Linked DNA regions of Drosophila melanogaster. The protein of the gene in region 1 interacts with the protein of each later gene in a pairwise test. Each region holds a gene or a part of one and is shown in the gene's direction. Other genes may lie near its edges.

Region 1 (3,757 bases):
AATTAAACAAATTGAAATGATGGCAAATGATATGGCGCAAGGCGGTGGGCAGTGGGTGGGTGTTGGGTGGTTGGTGGTCGGTCTGTGAACGGGGGACTGTGTCAACGGCGGTGCTGATTACAGAATAGAATATAGTAGAATATAGAATATATATATAATGTACACATACGCCCCGTGGGGCCTCTCATTAGAATGGCAAAATGTGCACAGTAGTTAATTATGCTTCCTTGGGTTTTTGCAGGAAAACACAGACCTTGTTCTCTACATCGGATAAACATTCTGAGTAAACATATAGTACACATGTCTCAATGGGTGTAATGTTTATAAACTCGAAGTTGACATAGCGAAGTTTATAGTGAGCTCTTCAACTTTTTCCTGTTACCGTTAAAGGTTTTAGACACGAAAATGGCCAGATTGCTAAGAGTATTTGGTAGTATATAGTATAGGGATCGAATAAGGCACATTATAAATGCGTGCTCACGTTTTTTTATTATGGCCGTTTATAATTCCAATTTGCCATTGACGTGGGTTGGCGAAAGGGGTTGCGGGGCGGGGGGTGCTGCCATAGAGAAAGGGTTCGTGGGAAGGGGAAGGTGGGCAGCCTGCAAGCTGCGAAATTAGGGCATCAAAGGCCACCTGACCAATCGAAGGGTATACACACACACATACTCGCACTTATATATATATACATGCGTATATACTTTCAAGCACACACTCTCACTGCAACTGGCGCATGTGTGTGTGTGTGTGTGCGTGCGGCTTGTTTACTGCCAGCACTTGACCTTAAAAAAATAAAAATGTAATTAATTGCTGGCCAGGTATGTAAATGCAGGTGAAAACAAACATTGTGTTGTATTTGTTGTGCCACACAACATACACACACACACACTCGAGCTGCACACTTTGTTGTTATCGAATTTTTGCACAGCGCCAGCCAGCAAACACGAAAAGTTCTCTATCTCATCATTTGCATTTGATTTTTTAATTGACCACCAAGTGTGGCAAAAAAAAACGATATAAAATTCAACACACATTCACACACACCGCACACACGCACACCACACACACGCAAATATGTAAATAAAAACATTAAAGACGTGCTCCGATCGGTTCTTGTTGGAATGACGACGATGGTGATGATGATGCCCCGTTTCCAATTGGAAACGGTTCAACCTTTTGAACCAAGTGTGCGTGGGGGGGTTGGGGGGCGTGTCCGGCTGGTTGGGCCGATAATGGTGCACATTCCGCCACCGATTTTCACCCAATTCGATCCGGATTCGGATTGGGATGGCTCTGTGCTTACTGTAAATGGTATTCCTTCCACGGAGCCAATGGCGAAGCACCGGTCGCCTGCATTGCAAGCGCCGCTCAAAATCTGATGACAATTCATAATTTACACACAGTTGATTATCACATCACAGCGCACGGATATTGGGGTCTTGGTTCTTTGGTTTCTAGCACGAATTTTCCTTGCTTCTTGTAACAAACGACAACAAAGTGACATTACATAAAAATTAGAGTTGGGTTCTTGGCCAGCGCGGCCAATCGAACTATCGATATTAGGGATGGCACGGCATGGGAGGCGAAATATCGCCTGAGTAATTTAAATACGGTTACTCCAATTAACCGAAAAACTGTTTATCATTTAATTAAAATATTATTATTAAAATATTTCATTTTATTTTCAAAAAATAGAGGTGAATATTTTAACCTATTGAAATTATATTTAATTATTCTGCTTCGTCTATATTTAGTATTTTTTCTAATATCCGTTCGATTTGATTCGATTTCGATATCAATTTCGATTGCCAATAAAAACGAAATCGTGGAATATATATCGATTCATGGTATCGATAGGCTGTTTCGATATTCAGGGTTGTGTTGCGAGCATTTTTGCATGTTGAAAACGCCGAAAATTAGTTTTTGGTTTTGTTTATAAAAATAGCTCCGAAATGGCGGCAGGTCCAATTGCTGAACGCAACCAAGGTGGGTTTGACCTCCACTCCACATTTGCACCACTTGGGAGACGCTTTAACCCGCCTTTTCCGTTCCTTCCACAGATGCCACCATCTATGCCGGCGGTCTTGACGACAAGGTGTCGGAAACGCTGCTTTGGGAGCTGTTTGTCCAGGCAGGACCAGTGGGTAAGTCCCGGACACACATGTATAGTGCCTAGCAGCTCCCTAATCGTCATGCTTGCAGTGAACGTACACATGCCCAAGGATCGTGTCACCCAAATGCACCAGGGCTATGGATTCGTCGAGTTCCTCAGCGAGGAAGACGCCGACTATGGAATAAAGATCATGAACATGATCAAGCTTTACGGCAAGCCCATTCGCGTGAACAAGGCGTCGGCGCATCAGAAGAACCTGGACGTCGGCGCCAACATCTTCATTGGCAACCTAGACGTGGAAGTGGACGAGAAGCTGCTGTACGATACGTTCTCCGCCTTCGGCGTTATACTGCAGACGCCGAAGATCATGCGAGACCCAGAGACGGGCAAGTCTAAGAGCTTTGCGTTCATCAACTTTGCCAGCTTCGAGGCCAGCGATGCGGCCATGGACGCCATGAACGGCCAGTACCTGTGCAACCGTCCCATTTCCGTGTCCTATGCCTTCAAGAAGGATCACAAGGGCGAGCGTCACGGTTCGGCTGCGGAGCGCCTGTTGGCCGCCCAGAATCCATCGACCCATGCAGACCGGCCGCATCAATTGTTCGCCGATGCACCGGTGCAAACCATGATGCCCCAGATGCCGGGCCAGATCCCGGCCCAGATGCCGGGCCAGATGATGCCGCCACCCATGATGGCGCCGCCGCCGCCGGTGGTGCCCGTTTCGAATAACAATATGGGCATGCTAGCACCGCCGCCGCCCGTTCCCCAGCCTGCACCGTTCCCAGCTACGATACCGCCGCCTCCGTTGCCACCGATGACCGGCGGACAGCCGCCGCTGCCGCCAGCAATGGGCATTCCGCCGCCGCCTCGCATGATGCAACCAAATGCATGGGCACCGCCCGGCATGCCTGCTCCTCCGCCCAGACCACCGCCCACCAACTGGCGTCCGCCGCCCGTGCCCTTCCCACCCACGCCCTACGCACGGCCCTATCAACCCGACGGCTACCAGTACTAAGTCTAGCGTGTAGTGTATACCAATTTGGACGAGACGAGAAATAAACATCAATAGGATTCATCAATGAAGCCTGCTCTGGGATATGTTAAGATTTCCATTCTTCTTTCTAATATGCATTTAACAACCGGGAAACCACTGGGAGACATTTAGATCATCATTGTATTTCCATTTAGTAGTCGCAATACAATCTTCGAATTCTTACAAGACGAAATTAAATAACTTTGAATAGAATTTTGAAATGAACGAAATGATTTGATATAAATTGACTCTCGATTCTTGATTTTTTTTTAAACGGAACTATTTTCAATAAACATAAAACGTTTACATTAACAAGTCTGTAAGTTTAATTTGAATGGAACATACGAAGAAAGCGATAATTTTTTTTTGTAATTTAACTAAGTATTTTTAAAGGGCTCCCTCTAATTTAATGTCCAATCCTTTGAAGTTATGTATAGAAACTAGCTTGTAGTTCAAAATAAACTGAGGAATGATTTTCCATTTATTGAAATGAAACTAGGATTCTTTTTTAGCATTCCCAAAATGATGCCGTCCCGCTTTTTTTCGAAACACGTTTGTTTTTTGGTCTTGTAATTTGTTTAGCATAAATTTATTAATATGGGAAACATACA
Region 2 (3,757 bases), on another chromosome or scaffold:
GTTAACTATTTCTTGTTAAAAATTGAGAGAAAACGAAGTCAAAAGTATTTTTATATTGAATCACATTCATTCCACTAAAAGGCCAAAACAAATATGCTTCATATTACAAACAATCCTTTTACAAAGAAGCTCTTATTCCTTGCTCAAAATGCAATTTTCGTTCCACGTCAATATCCAATTACACCTTAAGAGGCATTCAAGGTCTTCTAGCATCCTGCTGCTTGTGCTTTTCCACGAACATAATTTATATTGTTTTTGTTGACTTTTTGATGACCGACTGTGTGAGCTGGTGAGCGGCGGAATAGAGAAAATGTAACAACTGTGACAAGGGCAGGAAATGCTCCTCTATGCCCATAATACTATACAGATTTGAACCAAAAACACATACATATAAACGCCAACAGCTATGTACATACATATGTATTGTATTGTAGTACCTATGTATGTGGATGGATCATGTATATGTATGTTCGTCTGGGAGTTCTTGTTTTTGTGTGGGGATTCAAAAGGCCTGCCAAAACAGCCAATCAGGAACCAATCAGCGATAAATCAAAGTTTGATTTCATTTTCAGCAACGTTGCTACCTTTTTCGGACTGCTTTTCCTCCGCCGCCAATTACAGAAACATTTTGTTTTCGCCTATCGCGTTAAAACTTTCACATAATTCGCCTAACTTGGCGTTTAAAACATTTAACTTTGGCCAATTCGGCGCAGGCAAAACTTTTTGCCTCACTGGCACGCACACACAAGCACTTTTCGTTTAATTTTTAATGCACTTTTAATTGCGTTTTCTTGTACGGCGCACTTGTACGGTTTGCAGTTTGCATTAATCCACGTCTTACAACATTACCAGATATCTGTGTGTTGTCTAGTTCTTGCTGGTATAAAAAAACCATGCGATTTGGGAATCGAACTTGTGCGATTGGCGAACTTAACGGTACTGAGCCGAACCCACAGCTGTAACGGTAAAGAACGATGTGTGGGCGAGGACGACAACGACGACGATGCTGCTCCTTCGGTGGTAGCTTGACATCTGCTCGGGGTCCTTTCGGGATCCCGTGCTGTCCGACTATCGGTTCGGTTTGAGAGCGGGCGCAATGCAGCAAAACTTGGAGTAGGTTCAAGTTCCGAAGAGAGGGTGAGACTTTATATCGCTGAGACACAGAGAGAAGGGAAGAGAGAGCCGAGAGAGAGTCGTTGTGATGAGACAGATGAGTGACTATCTATACCTCCTGACTGTCAGCTGTTTAACGAATTTAAAAATAGAATTTTTCCAATCCCGATTTTGATCCCTAGACACGGTTTTATTTTTTTCTGACAAATTTTTCTATTTTAATCTTGAATATTAGATCATTCGCGGTTTTTTCGATTATTTTTTATTGAAAGCTTAGCCAGAAAGAAGTGCATCCAATATTTTAAATTAAAAAAAAAAACATTTAATCTCAGCACTTTGGTCACACTAGATGTATAAAATATCTGTATAATCATGTGCACCCTGTGCACGCAATAAAAATTGTAATTGCTATCGATATTTAAAATAATATTGCAAAATCAAACTAAACCTCTTAAGTTACAAAATCGAAGCACATGATATTTTATTAAAATAAAGAAGCAATTCTTCAGTAAGTGAACAGAAAAGATATTTCTTCTAATAAAGAAATTCTTAAATAAAAGAAAATGTTAACGGATTACATAGAATTGCGAATAATTTGTAGAATAAAATACTACCATGACAAAAAGCAAAGAACTTTGATAAGCTCTTATTACAAACTAGAAAGCTCTTCAACCGATTAATACCGATGTTTTTCACGGCGGCGTTATCTCCTCACCCATAGAAAGTTGTTGTTAAAGCAATCGGACTATTGAGCCGGCAGAACAGTTTAATTCTTCGAAAAGATAGGTAGTATACTAGAGTCGGGATCAATTAATATTCCAGACAATTCTCTGGTGAATTCTCAAGAATGCAAGTGTTTTTAGCTTTAGCCCTGCTCGCAGGCTTGGCTTTCTCAGGTGAGTTATAGACGTTAGAATGCTAAAGTGTTTAGCCAAACAAAGAGTAATTGTTTCTGCGTTTGTGTGCGCTTTAAACTAATGCACACATGCATATATTAAAACAATCGAGGTCATCGTTTTAGGATTGAAACTTTAGCTTATCATCATTTTTTTTGCCATGAAGTATATTTAAAAAGTAAAAAGAACATGTTTTTATTAAACTTTTAAATTAGATCAAATAAACGTAAAAGGGCATGTACTGCTATTTTGACCGCAGCTGTATATATACGAAGTATATAAGCAATGGCGTGAGCTTAAACCTCGATGGCTGCCCTTTACCGTTTCTTATTGTCAAGTTCCCGCTCATTTCTCATCTGAATCTCTCCACACTTTCGCCAACGACAATAGCTAATGCCACGAATCCGCCGAAATGGGATCCAAACTACATAGTCAAAGGAACCCTGTACATTCCGTACGCCGAGATTGCGGAACCCTTCTACGCCTGGTATGACAAGAATACGAGGCGATCCCGCATCGATTACTACGGCGGAATGGTGAAGACATACCAACTGGCTGGCGAGGGTCAGTACGGAACCCTGCTGAAGCTGGCACCGATTACCACCAAGACGGAGAACAACAAGCTAACCTGTCTGCAGGTGAATGGCACCGCCGACCAGGCTGTCGATATTCAGAGCATCCTGCCCGATGCGAAACCTTTCAGCCTGGTGGGCACCGAATCCTTTTTGGGCTACACGTGCGACAAGTTCCGCCTGGAGTCGACAATTGGCCAAAAGAAGAACATCTATACGCTGTGGGTGCGGTACAAGAAGTCGCCGCATTATCCCTCCAGCCGAATGCCCATTCCCGTGCGCTACGAGATGAGGGGCTATAACACCCTGCTGGGATCGCACTACGATCATTACTACTTGGACTATGACAGCTACGAGCACGATGATATTCCCAACGAGGTGTTCGAGATCGATGACAGCCTGCAGTGCGTCGGATTCCCCGGACCCGGCACCGGTCACTATGCCACCTTCAATCCCATGCAGGAGTTTATATCCGGAACCGATGAGCATGTGGACAAGGCCTTCCACCATTTCAAGCGCAAGCACGGAGTTGCTTATCACAGCGACACGGAACACGAGCATCGCAAGAACATCTTCCGTCAGAACCTGCGCTACATCCACTCAAAGAACAGGGCCAAACTCACCTACACGCTGGCCGTTAATCACTTGGCCGACAAGACCGAAGAGGAGTTGAAGGCACGACGAGGATACAAATCATCGGGCATTTACAACACCGGCAAACCGTTCCCCTATGATGTGCCCAAGTACAAGGACGAGATTCCCGACCAGTACGACTGGCGGCTATACGGCGCTGTCACTCCGGTGAAAGGTGGGTTCATTCATTCCCTAAGTACTTACTTAGATGAATTTGATAATATTGAATTGCTTAAAACGTAAACTACCCTTAGATCAATCTGTGTGCGGATCGTGCTGGTCATTTGGCACCATTGGTCACCTGGAGGGCGCCTTCTTCCTGAAGAATGGCGGCAATCTGGTCCGGCTTTCCCAGCAGGCGTTGATTGACTGCTCGTGGGCCTATGGCAACAATGGCTGCGATGGTGGCGAGGATTTCCGCGTGTACCAGTGGATGCTGCAGTCCGGCGGAGTGCCCACGGAGGAGGAGTACGGTCCCTATCTGGGCCAGGATGGCTACTGTCACGTCAACAACGTGACGCTGGTGGCACCTATTAAGGGATT
Region 3 (3,757 bases), on another chromosome or scaffold:
ATCCACAGTGTTTACAATTTTTCTCTCACTACAATTTTTGACATTTTTGATTTGTCACTCACTTCATTGATTAAATTTAATGCTTCAACATTTCGTAAAACTATATGATTTAATTAAGTGTTTAACGGCAATGACTTTTTCAATTAACGGAACTATTGTATTTTTGTCTTCCATTTATTATTCAAGAGTTAAGCACAATGCTCCAATATTTCAAGTATACCATAAACTGAAGGCTCTGACCGATTCGAATTGCATGTGTAAGCAAAGTGCGGGTTTACTTGTCGGGTAACCACTTTATCGAAAACATTATAGGCGAGTTTTGAGGGCCAACAATTTGACAATCATTTTCCGTTGAGCTTTTTCTGTCTGAATCAACTTGCGATATCTTAATGCGTGCTAACTATTGACCATATTTTGACAGGTTTCATATACATAACAGAAGAAATATTTGTTTCAGGAAACGGAGTTATTACGGTTCATTAATGAGTTTGCCAAATCGCCTGTTTTACCAAACGTGGCCAAAGTGTTCTTGGTATACCGATAGAAATTTACAAGGGTTATAATAAAATAAAAAAAAATCTCAAAAACTTTTTAAAAGTGTGCGCGTGGCAGCTTTTGGGGGTTTGTGGGCATTAGAAGGAACGCCGCCAAAGTGTTCTTAGTATAACGATAGCTATGGGCGGTCTGTGGGCGTAAGAGTGGGCGTGGAAAAAATGGATTTGGCAAATGAATATAAATTTACAAGACTGATGAAAATATACAAAAAAATATGCAACAATTTTTCAAAAATGTGGGCGTAGCAGTTTCGGGTTGCTTGAGGTCGTTACAGTGGGTGTGGCAACATGGGACAACAAACTTGCGCTGCGTCCATGTCACTAGAATATGTATGCTGAATCTCAACCTTCTAGCTTTAATAGTTCCTGAGAACTCGACGTTAATACGGACGGACAAGCCTGATCGACTCTGCCAATGGTCTTGATAAAGTATTTGTATATTTTATATGGTCCGAAACGTTTAGTTCAAGATACACTTCGTTACACACTTTTTAATATAGTAACGGAAATAATTAAATAATTTCCTAAACAAAGTCAAAAATATTCAATGCAACAAAACACCTCGCCCTCCATTCACAGAAAAAATCGTGTGAAACACAATCCAGCAAAAATAAATTAATAAATAAAGAATTAGATTAATTCGCATGCCTTGCTCAAACCATCAGCCATCGCCGTTCACCAGAACCCCTTTACTTCAGCTGTTGTTTTACAGCTTTTGCTTGGCTTTGGTTGGCTGCTTTGGCCTAGTTCTTGGTCGTTGCCATGTTTTCAACTCGGTTTTACTTTCAATTCTATGGTTCGAAATTGGCCACTTTACTTTAGACTTTAGAGTAAAGCTATATGTTGGGCATATAAATCGAATTTATCAAGGGCAATTCAGCTGGGTGGTATTAATTCTAAAAGTGATTGAGTGGTCTTCCTTCGATCCCATGCTTGACATGGATTCAAGTCCAAGCCCATGTTGAAGTAGTAAGCATTCTTTAATTTAAGCACCGTAATCCACTATCGAGCGATCCAGAAACCTGCTGCTAAACGAAAATGTAACGAAAAAGGTAACAACATTTCACAATCGCCTTGGTAAATAGTTTCCCAGCCTTCGTTGGCTAGAGGGTGGATATTGTTGTAGTTTCAGAAAACAATAAACAAAGCCCGCTCCCCGCTTGTAGATAGCTTGAAACTGATGGGGAGCTTTGGATGAAATTCTCAGTAAAATGTTGAAATTCACTAAGAATATGGGTCTGGACTACATTTTTCTGATAACTTGTATAACTTGTAAAACGTAGCAAAGCTGCAATGGCGCAAGCGTTAACTTTACTCTTACTTTCAAAAGCTTAAGAGATACAAACGACTCCGCGCGGGTGCAGCAACAACTTGAACAGTCTGTTAATGTAAAGTAACAGTCGGGGCCAAGCGTGGCGCAGACCAAGCTTGGCCCAAAAGCCAGACTTCGAAACTTGGTTGGCTGGCTGCGCTTGCCCAGAGTCTCAAGACACTCGTCCGCACAGTCGCGCTGTATAGTTGTTTCGATTAGGACGTGTGGTTCGCTTAAGCGCACGGTAAGCAGAGACGCTCGAGGGTCACCCGAACTTGTCAGGCGGTCTAAACTGTTTGCAATAAGCCACAATCAATTTTTGGGCTTTCGATTGCTAATTTATTTCGTAAACGCGTCGAAATAAAGTCCACCTCTGACTGGACATTGCAACCAGCCAAAAATTTAACATTTTGTAGAAAGCAGTTTTAACTGCATTTTGCAGTTTAGTCGAAGAGCTCAAGCGTGTGTGTCGGTGGTAAGCTAACTTTGCGTTAAAAAGAAAGTTTACGCTAAATATATATACAAGCTTCGACAAACAAAATAAAAACGTGCAGGTTTTGTTTTATTTTGTTTCGCATTTTCCTCTACGCGCTACAGACTAGTTCATACAGAGTTTTCCAATATGGAGGTGCCCGCGATACCGTACGGGAAATCTAAATCAAACACCGATCTTCGATTTGATCTCTTTGCATTTTTGTCTAGCAATCTTTTCCATGGTAACTACAAAACGAACAGCGGTCATTGCAGTCTCACGTGAAAGAAACTAAAAAACCTAACTAAAAATCGCTTGCCAAAAGCAATGGAGGAAAACTAAGTGTTGTAATCTGTAAACGTGTGTGTTAGCTATGCATCGTCGCGTTGGTTAAAGCCAAACGAAAGCTCGAATAATAGGGGCAGAAACTAAATCTGCTTACAACAATACAAACATGTCCTAACCAAGTGAAGGCACAGCCACAAAGCCGCAGTCGCGGCATAAGCCAGACACACCATTAAGAAAACTGTAACACAAGGCTCAAAAAATCTAAATTGAAAAATTGCGACACTGCCTTCTTAGTTATTTAGCAATTGTTTTCAACAAAACAGAGGTTTTCTCAACGGTAACTGCCTCCGTCATCGGTACGGTGGCTGCTGCTGCTCCCCACTTCCCGCGCTTCCAACCACTATTTTTATCCGAGCTTGCCTATGGTATTTTAAATTCTGTGAACTAACCCCAAAACGAAACTGAACCAACCACATCAAGAAAATTTACAGTTACAGTTACGACGACACGCCATACCTGCAATATGAAGTATTCAACAAGTCGAATAAACATTCTGTGCCTGCTGGGATTGTGCCTACTGCTTTTTAAAACAGGTGAGTAATGCCCACTTCAGTGAAGAACACTCTGCTAGAAATACAAATGGAGGCAAAAACTTAAAAGAGCAAAGGGCTTACACACTTTACCCACTAGTCCTAGAAGAGTTAGCACTTAACCAGATTTTAAGACAACCATGGATAAGTATTCAGTTCATGTATGAACTGAAATCTTTTTTTAAACGTAGATCCGAAAAAGTTTTATTTTTAAGTGAATTGTTTTTACAGTACTATGGATTCTTCTTTTCCTCAATCATATTCGAAACTTCGTGATAGAAATATTATGTTCCGCAAATAAAGCCAAACTTGTTTTGAACACTGTTCCGGCTGCCATGTACGAGCTCGCAATAGTCTAATGTCAAATTCAATCACCGTAGAAGAAGTCAAACCACCAGCTGTTAACCACTTGTGTTGAGCTCTATTGTGGATACTCCGGCTCCGGCTAAACGAGTTTCTTAATATGTCCAAAAATGTATATTTATTTTAATATATATATATATATATATATATTAAGACATTTTACTGCGAAATGTGTTAG

Evidence for each region.
Region 2: the proteins of Spx (region 1) and CtsK1 interact in a two-hybrid assay, tested with the Drosophila melanogaster proteins (one large-scale study listed by BioGRID).
Region 3: the proteins of Spx (region 1) and Cda5 interact in a two-hybrid assay, tested with the Drosophila melanogaster proteins (one large-scale study listed by BioGRID).

The regions. Positions count from the first base shown.
Region 1 is NC_004354.4:6,253,959-6,257,715, forward strand, and holds Spx (spliceosomal protein on the X), read left to right. Parts: upstream 1-1,863; 5' UTR 1,864-1,952; coding exon 1,953-1,986; intron 1,987-2,060; coding exon 2,061-2,144; intron 2,145-2,202; coding exon 2,203-3,128; 3' UTR 3,129-3,638; downstream 3,639-3,757. Other genes in the region: Rbcn-3A (Rabconnectin-3A), read right to left, coding at 1,304-1,390.
Region 2 is NT_037436.4:13,992,392-13,996,148, forward strand, and holds the start of CtsK1 (cathepsin K1), read left to right. Parts: upstream 1-1,839; 5' UTR 1,840-1,960; coding exon 1,961-2,009; intron 2,010-2,399; coding exon 2,400-3,389; intron 3,390-3,468; coding exon 3,469-3,757.
Region 3 is NT_033779.5:57,543-61,299, reverse strand, and holds the start of Cda5 (chitin deacetylase-like 5), read left to right. Parts: upstream 1-2,031; 5' UTR 2,032-2,110; exon of another isoform or gene 2,111-2,341; intron 2,342-2,568; exon of another isoform or gene 2,569-3,051; intron 3,052-3,106; exon of another isoform or gene 3,107-3,117; 5' UTR 3,118-3,149; coding exon 3,150-3,219; intron 3,220-3,757.